Linked DNA regions of Nothobranchius furzeri. The protein of the gene in region 1 purifies or fractionates together with the protein of each later gene. This does not show direct contact. Links are inferred from orthologs where the notes say so. Each region holds a gene or a part of one and is shown in the gene's direction. Other genes may lie near its edges.

Region 1 (4,954 bases):
GCCTGCACTGGCAGCTTCCTTGGTGTTTAATCTGTCGGTTTTCCCAGAGTGTTAATGGTCTGATGTTCACGTTCTCTGCTGAACAGCGACTGACACGCTGTTGACGTGGAGCCTTGACATGTTAACACTGGAAATGAACGAAAAATATCGAGGGCGAATGAGCAGCTCAGTTTTCTTGTTTAAATTATTACACGTGTTGCATCTTGCTGTTTTTTAATTAATTTATTAACCTAATTTATTGTTTGGTATTTAACTTTTGTAACAAATCCAGTGTTTGTGTTACTTATTGCTTAGGTGTAATTCTGCACTCAAATTGTATTTTAGGAAATCAGAAACTTCAGTTCAATGTTTGACAAACTGTGACCAGTTCGTTTGATCTGAGCCATAATCCTTTACTTTCACGTTGTCTTAAACCAGATCACACACAGATTGGCTATGCAGTCACCAAAAAAGGCAGACAAGAGTTTTATTTGCCTCAGGGAGAGGAAGAGTTATTTTCTTTTGAATATTCTGTAGTGACTGGTGCAATCTTAAGCACTCCGAAGAGGGGGGAGAAGAAAGTTTGAATGGGAGATGAGTGTTTGTCAGACCCATAAATGTGGAACTCCTTGAAAAATGCACTAATAATACTTCCATCCTTTGTTCTTGGAAATGTTCTAAATAAATCGCTTATGAAAATGAGCTTTGGCCTCTTTTATTTATTTTATTGTGGGCGATGGTGGCACAGGAGTTAAGTGCTCGTCCCGTAATCAGAAGGTTGCAGGTTCGAGCCCCGCTCAGTCTGTCGCTGTCATTGTGTCCTTGGGCAAGACACTTAACCCACCTTGCCTGCTGGTGGTGGTCAGAGGGACGGGTGGCGCCTGTGCTCGGCAGCCTCGCCTCTGTCAGTGCGCCCCAGGGCACCTGTGGCTACATTGTAGCTCATCCCCAATGGTGTGTGAATGGGTGAATGGCTGATTGTGTTGTAAAGTGCCTTGGGGGGTTCCAGGACTAGAAGGTGTTATATCAAATACAGGCCATTTACCATTTAATTATTTTGTTTTTATGTCTCAGAATGCTCCACAGTGACTAAATAAAACATTGTTCAGAAATGTCATTTGTTTCTGATGATGAGCCATAGTGGGAATTTAAATATTTAATTTTTAGACATGAATGATAGAATGGATTTATGTGGGCTCTGGTTATAGATAGATAATTCAAATGCTAAATGCAAGAATTTTAATTTTTTTGCCTTTGGGTGACCAGGTTTAATGAAACGAATGGAACCCAAGTATAATGGTTCAAAATAACAGAAAAAACACTTGATATTAATTTATCCTTTGAAGAATATTTGCTTTGTATATTTCTAAGAATATAGGGAGCCTAAGTCACACCCATCTGCTTCCAGACCATGGGTCACTGCAGAATGAAAAAATGATTTCAAGTCTAAGGCTAAAACGCTTTTTTCTAATTCTGCTTATGTGCCAAGGATTTCACATATGATGTCCATGAATTTTAAACACGCATTTTAATACCAAGAACTCTTTTATTTTAGGTTTTGTGTGAAAATAAGTCCAGAACTACAAACGCGCGTTACGAAAATGACGTCATCGAACCGCACACGAGAAAAACAAAGGGTAAATGGCTGTAAGTTTAGCGAATTTAAAATCCTTCCTTCAGAAAGAAGCCCCCACCATAAATCTGGCCATTTGGTAAGTAGCAGCTACGCTAGGGGAGAAGAGATTTATGTAGTGACGTCATATATGCGACATGCCGATTTCTAAGTTGTAGTCATGCTAATTTCGAACGCTTACAAGCTGATAAATATCAAAGTACGTGACTGGCGTGGTCGAAACACCCATCATTAGTTTTCTTTTAAATTGCAGTACAACATATGTGTGATCCAGGGCGTAAGGCAAAGCGAAGTAGAAAATAGCTCTTTTAGCCCCGTTGACTTTCGTTCTTGGGACCCATAGTACGGAAGTGACTTCCCTAAAACGTTAGGGGCGTGGTTGTTCAACGTCATTTCCTGGTTTGTTTACGATTCCCGCCACCTGAAATCAAGCGATAAATTCTAGAAGATGGTGCCAGAAAAAGAGAGGAATTTTCTCCGCAGGTTTGTGGTGGATCAACTGCGCCATGAATCAGATCTAAGGTACATTTAAAACCACGTGCTATCATTTAGCGTTTCTTCTAGGTGAAAACGACTTCTTGGCTTTGTCTGCTTGTGTATTTTTACATTAATTTGTCTATTTTAAGGTCTGTTTGCACATCTGGGCGTTAACTGTAGCTGAAAGACTTTTGGGGTTGTTTATTCGACATGGCGTGTAACTAACATCAGAGACGGAGACGTAATCCAACCGTATATTTTAACAATAATTATAATTATACGCAATCAAAGACCAGAAGTTCCAATTTTTAGTTTTACTTTACTTTGGTGTCACAAATAATCGGACATTGAGCTGAAAAAATCGATTAAATATTGATTTATTGGAATGTCTTTAAGCTTATAAACAATATGTAGCGCCCCCTCCTGGTTGCTTGTGGTAGTTATAGCAAATGTTTTTGTTTATCAGAAACTAAATAAGATGTTTTAAGAAGATTGTTTTACTTAATGGGCTGAAAACCACAACAATCTATGCAAAGAGTGGTCTAGTCTGGTCGTTTTGTCCCCAGCAGATCCAGTTTCATGTACAGAATGTTTTGTTTGTTTAATTCTATGAGCTGGAAAAGAAATGTGTGATTTTTGAAAATTAGTATTATCAAAACATCCTTTTATTGGGCATGTTAAAAACGACATATGCATAATTTAATCCGCTTCAAAATTAAGTTGTCCTCTTAAAGGTTAGTAGAATTATTGAGATGCTTTTTATTTTTCTGTCATTTTAAAGGCATGAAAAAATGTGTGAGCACCTTTCTTTGCTCTAAAAGCTGCTCAATGTGTTCATTCTGCTGTTTTCTCTCAGCACGCTCACATTAGGCATACTGAAGAAGAGGTACCTGGCTCTTGTGAAATGTGAGCCATTAAGTCCAGAGGCGAAGAAGTTCATGAAACAAGTGGTGGAGGAAGAACTTCTGAACATGCAGGTAACTGAAACTTAGGATCATTCTACATGTTTGTCATTTCTTCTGTTGACAGTTATTTTTAATGTGGTTATAAGTCCAACCATTTCTCAAACACTGATGAGCTCATCCATGTCACACGTGTTTGTTTTGATCTAAATGCACCGTCCTGTATGCAGAACAAGTCACACAAGCTTCAATGTGCAGAAACTGCTGAGACTAGTGTCCAGGGACCATCCATAAACGTCAACGTCGGTCACAAAAATACTCGATGTTGTCACAAACTATAGAGTCTGCAGAATGCCGGTCCTCTGCTTGGGAGTTTCTGGGTTTGACCCTGCAGCTGATTCTGATTAGCTGCCTTTAGATGAAGAAGAAAAAGGCTGCTCTGTACAACTTGCATTGGATTCAGTGACTTTGACATGTGTACTCCAGCTTTCCACTGGATGCATAAATGGTGCATAAGATTGTAAACGCATTTTACGCGTGAGCATCCTTGCCTCCAGCAATGTTACAGACGCAAAACATCAGTGAAGGCATTCCACGAAGCTGGCCCTGCGATGCCTTGGAAGCACCAGAGATGGATCACACGAGATTTCAGCATTTAACATCATAACAAACAAGAAGAACAGCAGCATGTGTACAAAAAGATCTGTGGTTTCATGGGCAATGACGCACTTTTTTTATTAGTTAAGTGAGTGGAAATCTGCACAACTCTTATTTTGATCTATCTCCTGTCTGACCTGATCTCCGCTGCTGAGCTTGACGCATTCTCGAAGCATTGAGATAAAAAAAATGGACCCAAAGCCTTAGCGGGGCTTCTGGCTCGCATCCAAATCGCGATGCTTCACCACCGGCTTCACGGATGTCATGCAATGCCTGCACATCCGATGGAATGGCAATTACATTTAGTTTTATTAAAATTTCTGTTACTGTTGCCTCACAGTTGGAAGGTTGCAGGTTTGATTCCTGGCTTCAATCTCTCTGTGCGGAGTTGGCTTGTTCACCCCATGCATGCGTGGATCCACTCTGGGTACCCTGGTTTCCTCCCACAGACCAAAAACATCCAGATTATGTTTATTGGAGACTCTAAATTGATCTGAGTGACTGGATGTTTGTCTCTGTCTCTCTGTGGTGGACTGGAGACTTGTCCAGTGTGTCCCCCCACCTCACCTAGTGACTACTGGAATTAGGCACCAGCTGCCCACCACTTCCTTTCTCAGAATCATCAGCGCTTGGAAGTGGAACGGTACAGAGAAGCATTACAGGATGTTGCACCACAGCATGACAGGGGTCATCAATAGAAACAATGGAGGTGTACTCTATTATTCATGTGACATCAGTATGTTTACAGTACGCAACACGGTAGTTCTAGTGAGCATCTTTCCAAAGTAAGAGCGTGCTCGTAAAGCAGGATGTCGTATTATAATGTTTTTGTGATCATTAGAGGCTGAAATAAAAAATACAAGGTATATTAAAAGCATAGTTTTTAAATGATTTCTGTTTATATTGTTTCTTTAAGGAAAATGCTGAAAATGAAAGTGACTCTGAGATCAAGGGGCCCCAAAACAAACGGAAGAGAGAAACCAAGCAAAAAGAGGTGGAAAGTGAAGAAGAAAAAGACCCCCGAGCAAAAAAATCTCGTCGTGTTTCAAGCTCCTCATCAGGTAGGTTGTAACGCAAATATGTATTTAATGTGTCGGTTTCATGGTGCTGTGATGTTAATGTTGATTTTTCAGATTCAGAGGTTGAAGAGAAATGCAAAACAGGAAGTCCAAAACAAGCAAAATCTCACGCTACGGGTGCAGGGAAACGAGTCGGAACAGATGGGAACGCAAAACAGCCGACCACGAGCGAGGATGACTCTTCTGATGAAGAAATGAAGAAGTCAGAACAAAGTGACAGCGAGAAT
Region 2 (4,231 bases), on another chromosome or scaffold:
CACTGATCATTGATGTGCTGCAGGCAGCTGTGTCCTGGGCATGGCCCCAGTAACATTCTCCAAAAATATAAAATGACACACAATCATTCATGTCTGCTCAAATTCTTTCTGGTACTTACTTTTAGTCAGGAATTGTCAGAACTCATCACCCCTTAGTCCAGTGACTTCACCTCACTGGTGCAGCCTTGCGTGCACTCCGCTGTTTTGCGGTCAGTAGATGCCTTTGATGTGCTTAGTTCAAAAGTAATCCCTGAGGTGAAAAAGTAGAAAGCCAGGAAACAGTTTTTCTGCAGGATTGAGAGGAGATGCAGGAAGATGAGACGGACAGGACAGGAAAATATTCAAATAAAAAACAATTAAAAAAACAAGTTTACTTTTATAAAGCAATCATTTATAAGCATGTAATATTTATATATTTTATACAATTCAGATCACTTTCAAAACGCAGTCCCACTCCCAGGGCCGTATCAAGGCATTTTGGGGGCCAAGGCAAAATAAACCCCCCTCTCATTGGACTCCCCCGGAAGCCTCTGTAATTCGTGCCCTACGAAGATCCCGTTTCAGCTGATCCTCCCATTTTAATAATAAGCAACAATAAGGCTCAGGGGGTCAAAGGTACCATGCCAAAAAGTCAAAGCCGTGTGTGACCTACTTTTTAAGTAAATTAGAAAGTTTTAAAATGCCAGAGAAACTTATTTTCTGAGAAACCTCATAAAAACGTCTTAATGTAAAGCCCTTCCTCCTCCAATCTTCAGTTTCCTGTGTCTGGGGCCTTCTGGTTTAAACCAACCAATTAGCAAGCAGCTCATTAGCATATTCATGTCCTGGCCAAGTGGGAGGGGTGAACAGCTCTTGTCACAATAAGGTTGATTTAGAGGGGTTTAGCTTGGATTATGCTTGTCTGCGAGGTTCGCACGGCTCCGCGCGGCAAAATTGCGTCATTTTAACAACCACGCCCCTCCACCGCGCCTCCGCACGGCCCAAATTTTCCGCACCGCGCACCTAGGAAATTTTCTAACCACGCGGACGGTCGGATGCGGAAAAACATGGCGGACTGGCAAGAACTAGTATGGCAGAGGTTCATAAATACAGACATTTGTATGATTCAGCTCTCAAAGATCACCGTGATCAGCATGTTGTTAATAATTCTTGGAGAGAAATAGCTCGCACTGTCGGAAAAGACGAGGACGCTGTTAAAAGCTGGAATGCCATGTTGTAAACAGTCATTTTTACTTCTACTATGGTGTAGTGCTGGATGCATGCCGTAGAGCTCCATGCTGCCCCCTACAGTTTGGGAGAATATTGGCTCACCGCAGAGACGAGCCGCATGAACCATAAACACTGCGAGTTGTGAAGCACGTTCCATCCGCGAGCCGCATCACCGCGCGGAAAGTGAATGTGTCAAGCATAAACCAAGCTTTAGAATGGCCTGTATCAGGGCTCCTGGGACAGATGAAAGCCAAAAGAAAATTTCTTATGCTTCTTCGATTCAAAGCAGTGTTTTAGATTGCTGATCAACTGCATTCATTGTCCCCTTTAAATCAATGTTAACAAAAGTAAATACACAATCATGGACCAGATTCGAGACTGTAATGGTGGCAGGATACCTCAGAATAGTGCTACGCCCTCTGTTGTCCTGGCGGGGAATTGTTTTGCAACAATCCCCAGCTGACGGAGAAGTCTGTGACCAAAACGTTTGTCAGTGCGTGTGCGTCTCTCCCTCACGGAGCTGACGGAGAGGTAGAAATTAGGCTTTACAGTTTGCTGAGTCTTTAATGTTATTTGTCGTTAAACAGAGAAGCTTTGGTGCTGTTTTAGAGAAAGATGTTTGTTAAATCTCAGTTTTTTGGCTGTAAAACACAGGTGTTGTTGGTGAGTCTAGTGGATGTGATGAATATGTGCTTGTGCAAAAACCTGTTTCCAGGTCTATTTAGGTGAAACAAGAGGAACTGGAAGTAGGACTTCTTAGAGGGTTGAGCGTGTGCTTTGCTACTGAACACACAGCTCATTTTTTATTTTGTTTCTCCGTGGCTAAATTTACCGGTAGAGCTGTATTTCAGGCTGATCATCTCAGGGTGGATGTACACAGAGAAAATGCCGCTGTCCCATTTTTCTGGTTATTGGGGTCACAATTTCTACACGAGTGGTTACCTGGAAGAAAAGTGAAAGCACCCACACCAGCTTATTTCTGAGAAACTCGGACATCAAGAAAACCTTGAAGAAGTATTTTGGCCAGTTTGAAATGTGTTGTATGTAAAAGTTCTGACTTTTATTTGTTGTATATGACTTCCTGAGTGGGCTCAGCAGAAATATTTCTGCCAACACAACCCTGGAATGTAATGAAAAGGATTTTCACAAACTGCTTGTAAAGCCTTGGTGACTTGAGCTGTTAACAGGACGTTTGAGAGGAACGCCATCCACCAGCAATCTATATTCAGCAAATAAAAAAATCAAAACCCTAGAAAAAAGAATGTTTAAGATGGCCAACCAGTCCCATGTTGGCGTGATGAGACAGCCACACAGTCAGAGAACAATGTACCTTCTTTGTAGAAGTGTTACCTGTAAAGAAAAGGAAGAACATTTTCATAACATAATCATCCATTCCTGTTTTTAAAACATTAATACTTAAAGAGACAAATACTGAAGATTGACTCTGAATAAATTAGCCAAACATAAATAGTCTGTGTGACATAAACAGTAAAGTCCATTCTCAGTGCTAAACAGGCCAGATTATAAACCTGATAATCTGCCTTTTGGAAGGAGAAACTCGCTCTGCTCAACAGTTGAAATCTCTGTTTTTGTTTAAGGCTCTGGACTACTGTCACAGCATGGGCATCATGCACAGAGACGTGAAGCCCCACAACGTGATGATCGACCACCAGCTGAGGAAGGTGCTGCTCAGTTGTTTATTTACTCCAAAAACAACACCTCAGAAACAATCATGTGCATCTGTGTGTCCATTAATGAATCTGGCACTGACAAACTTTTACATGAGTCACTGATGCCCTGTTGCATCAATAGTTCATGTTTAAGTCAAACACACCCGGTTTTTGATGGGATATAAAATGACACTAATAACTTGTGATGTTGTAGATTTTACTCGAGGGAAACATGAGAGGAACCCAGTAACGTGTGTGTGTTCTGCCACAGCTCCGGCTCATAGATTGGGGTTTGGCTGAATTTTACCATCCCGCTCAGGAATACAACGTCAGGGTGGCCTCTCGTTATTTCAAAGGCCCCGAGCTGCTCGTGGACTATCAGGTAGATTTATTCAGACAAAAGCACAACTCTGAGTCAGGCGGTGTGAACTCTGATGTCATGTTAGGGTTCAACTGTGTTTTTCTGTTTTAGATGTATGATTATAGTTTGGACATGTGGAGTTTAGGCTGCATGTTGGCCAGCATGATTTTCCTCAAGGAGCCATTTTTCCACGGCCAAGACAACTATGATCAGGTAAGAGGTGAACAAATGATGTGTAAAGGAGGACAGATACATATTAATAAAGATGAGTTTTACTCTCTGACTAAATAACATAAAATTTAAGTTATAATGTTGACTCATTATTTGTGTCAGACAAATATAAAAAAAGATGCTTTTAATCCCAGAAGAACATTTCTTTCCTCCACATGAGTGGATGAATTAAACACGTTTTTGTTGATATTTTGTGAATGATCTCTGTCGGTGGCAGTAGAACAACACTCACAAGGTACTGCACTGTAATGTGGCTCAGTGGCGCCCCCTGCTTTGTGTCTTAAAACTAACATCACAGCAAGTAATCCAACAGAAACTGGGTTAACTCAACCTGTCCTTAAAGTTGTGGATCACTCAAATCATATTTTAATTATTTCTGATTATAATCGGTCACTCTGAGGTTCAAATGTAGGTTGAAAATGAAAATAGTCTCCTACACCTATCTGCTGCATTAGCTTCTTCTGATAGAAAATAGACAGTAAAACTCTAGGATTGGAAAAGCCTGACAGATCTACGTCGCACTGTCACTTAACATTCATGGACTCACCCATCTTGACTCACGATGGGGAAGGCTGCTGTTGGTTTAGCATCTAGGAAACAGCAGAGAATGTATCAACTAGTAGAAACTAACTGTTAGCATTAGCAACTCCACCGCACAGAAGAACTCCCTCAAGCTGGAGGTATTTGTGGAGATAAAGCATCAATGTTGCAAAGCAATCAGTCAGTGGTTGGGTCTTTTTCTGTTAGCCAATCAGATGAG

Evidence for each region.
Region 2: the proteins of hirip3 (region 1) and casein kinase II subunit alpha' purify together in Homo sapiens (affinity purification with mass spectrometry; 6 studies listed by BioGRID and IntAct, counting the BioPlex papers as one, with this or other methods). This does not show direct contact. The link is inferred for Nothobranchius furzeri from reciprocal best matches to the Homo sapiens genes HIRIP3 and CSNK2A2.

Annotation. Positions count from the first base shown.
Region 1 is NC_091752.1:51,441,664-51,446,617, reverse strand, and holds the start of hirip3 (HIRA-interacting protein 3), read left to right. Parts: upstream 1-1,974; 5' UTR 1,975-2,060; coding exon 2,061-2,134; intron 2,135-2,945; coding exon 2,946-3,066; intron 3,067-4,564; coding exon 4,565-4,709; intron 4,710-4,781; coding exon 4,782-4,954. UniProt on the Homo sapiens protein: Histone chaperone that carries a H2A-H2B histone complex and facilitates its deposition onto chromatin.
Region 2 is NC_091749.1:31,566,798-31,571,028, reverse strand, and holds part of casein kinase II subunit alpha', read left to right. Parts: intron 1-2,807; coding exon 2,808-2,891; intron 2,892-3,150; coding exon 3,151-3,261; intron 3,262-3,351; coding exon 3,352-3,453; intron 3,454-4,231.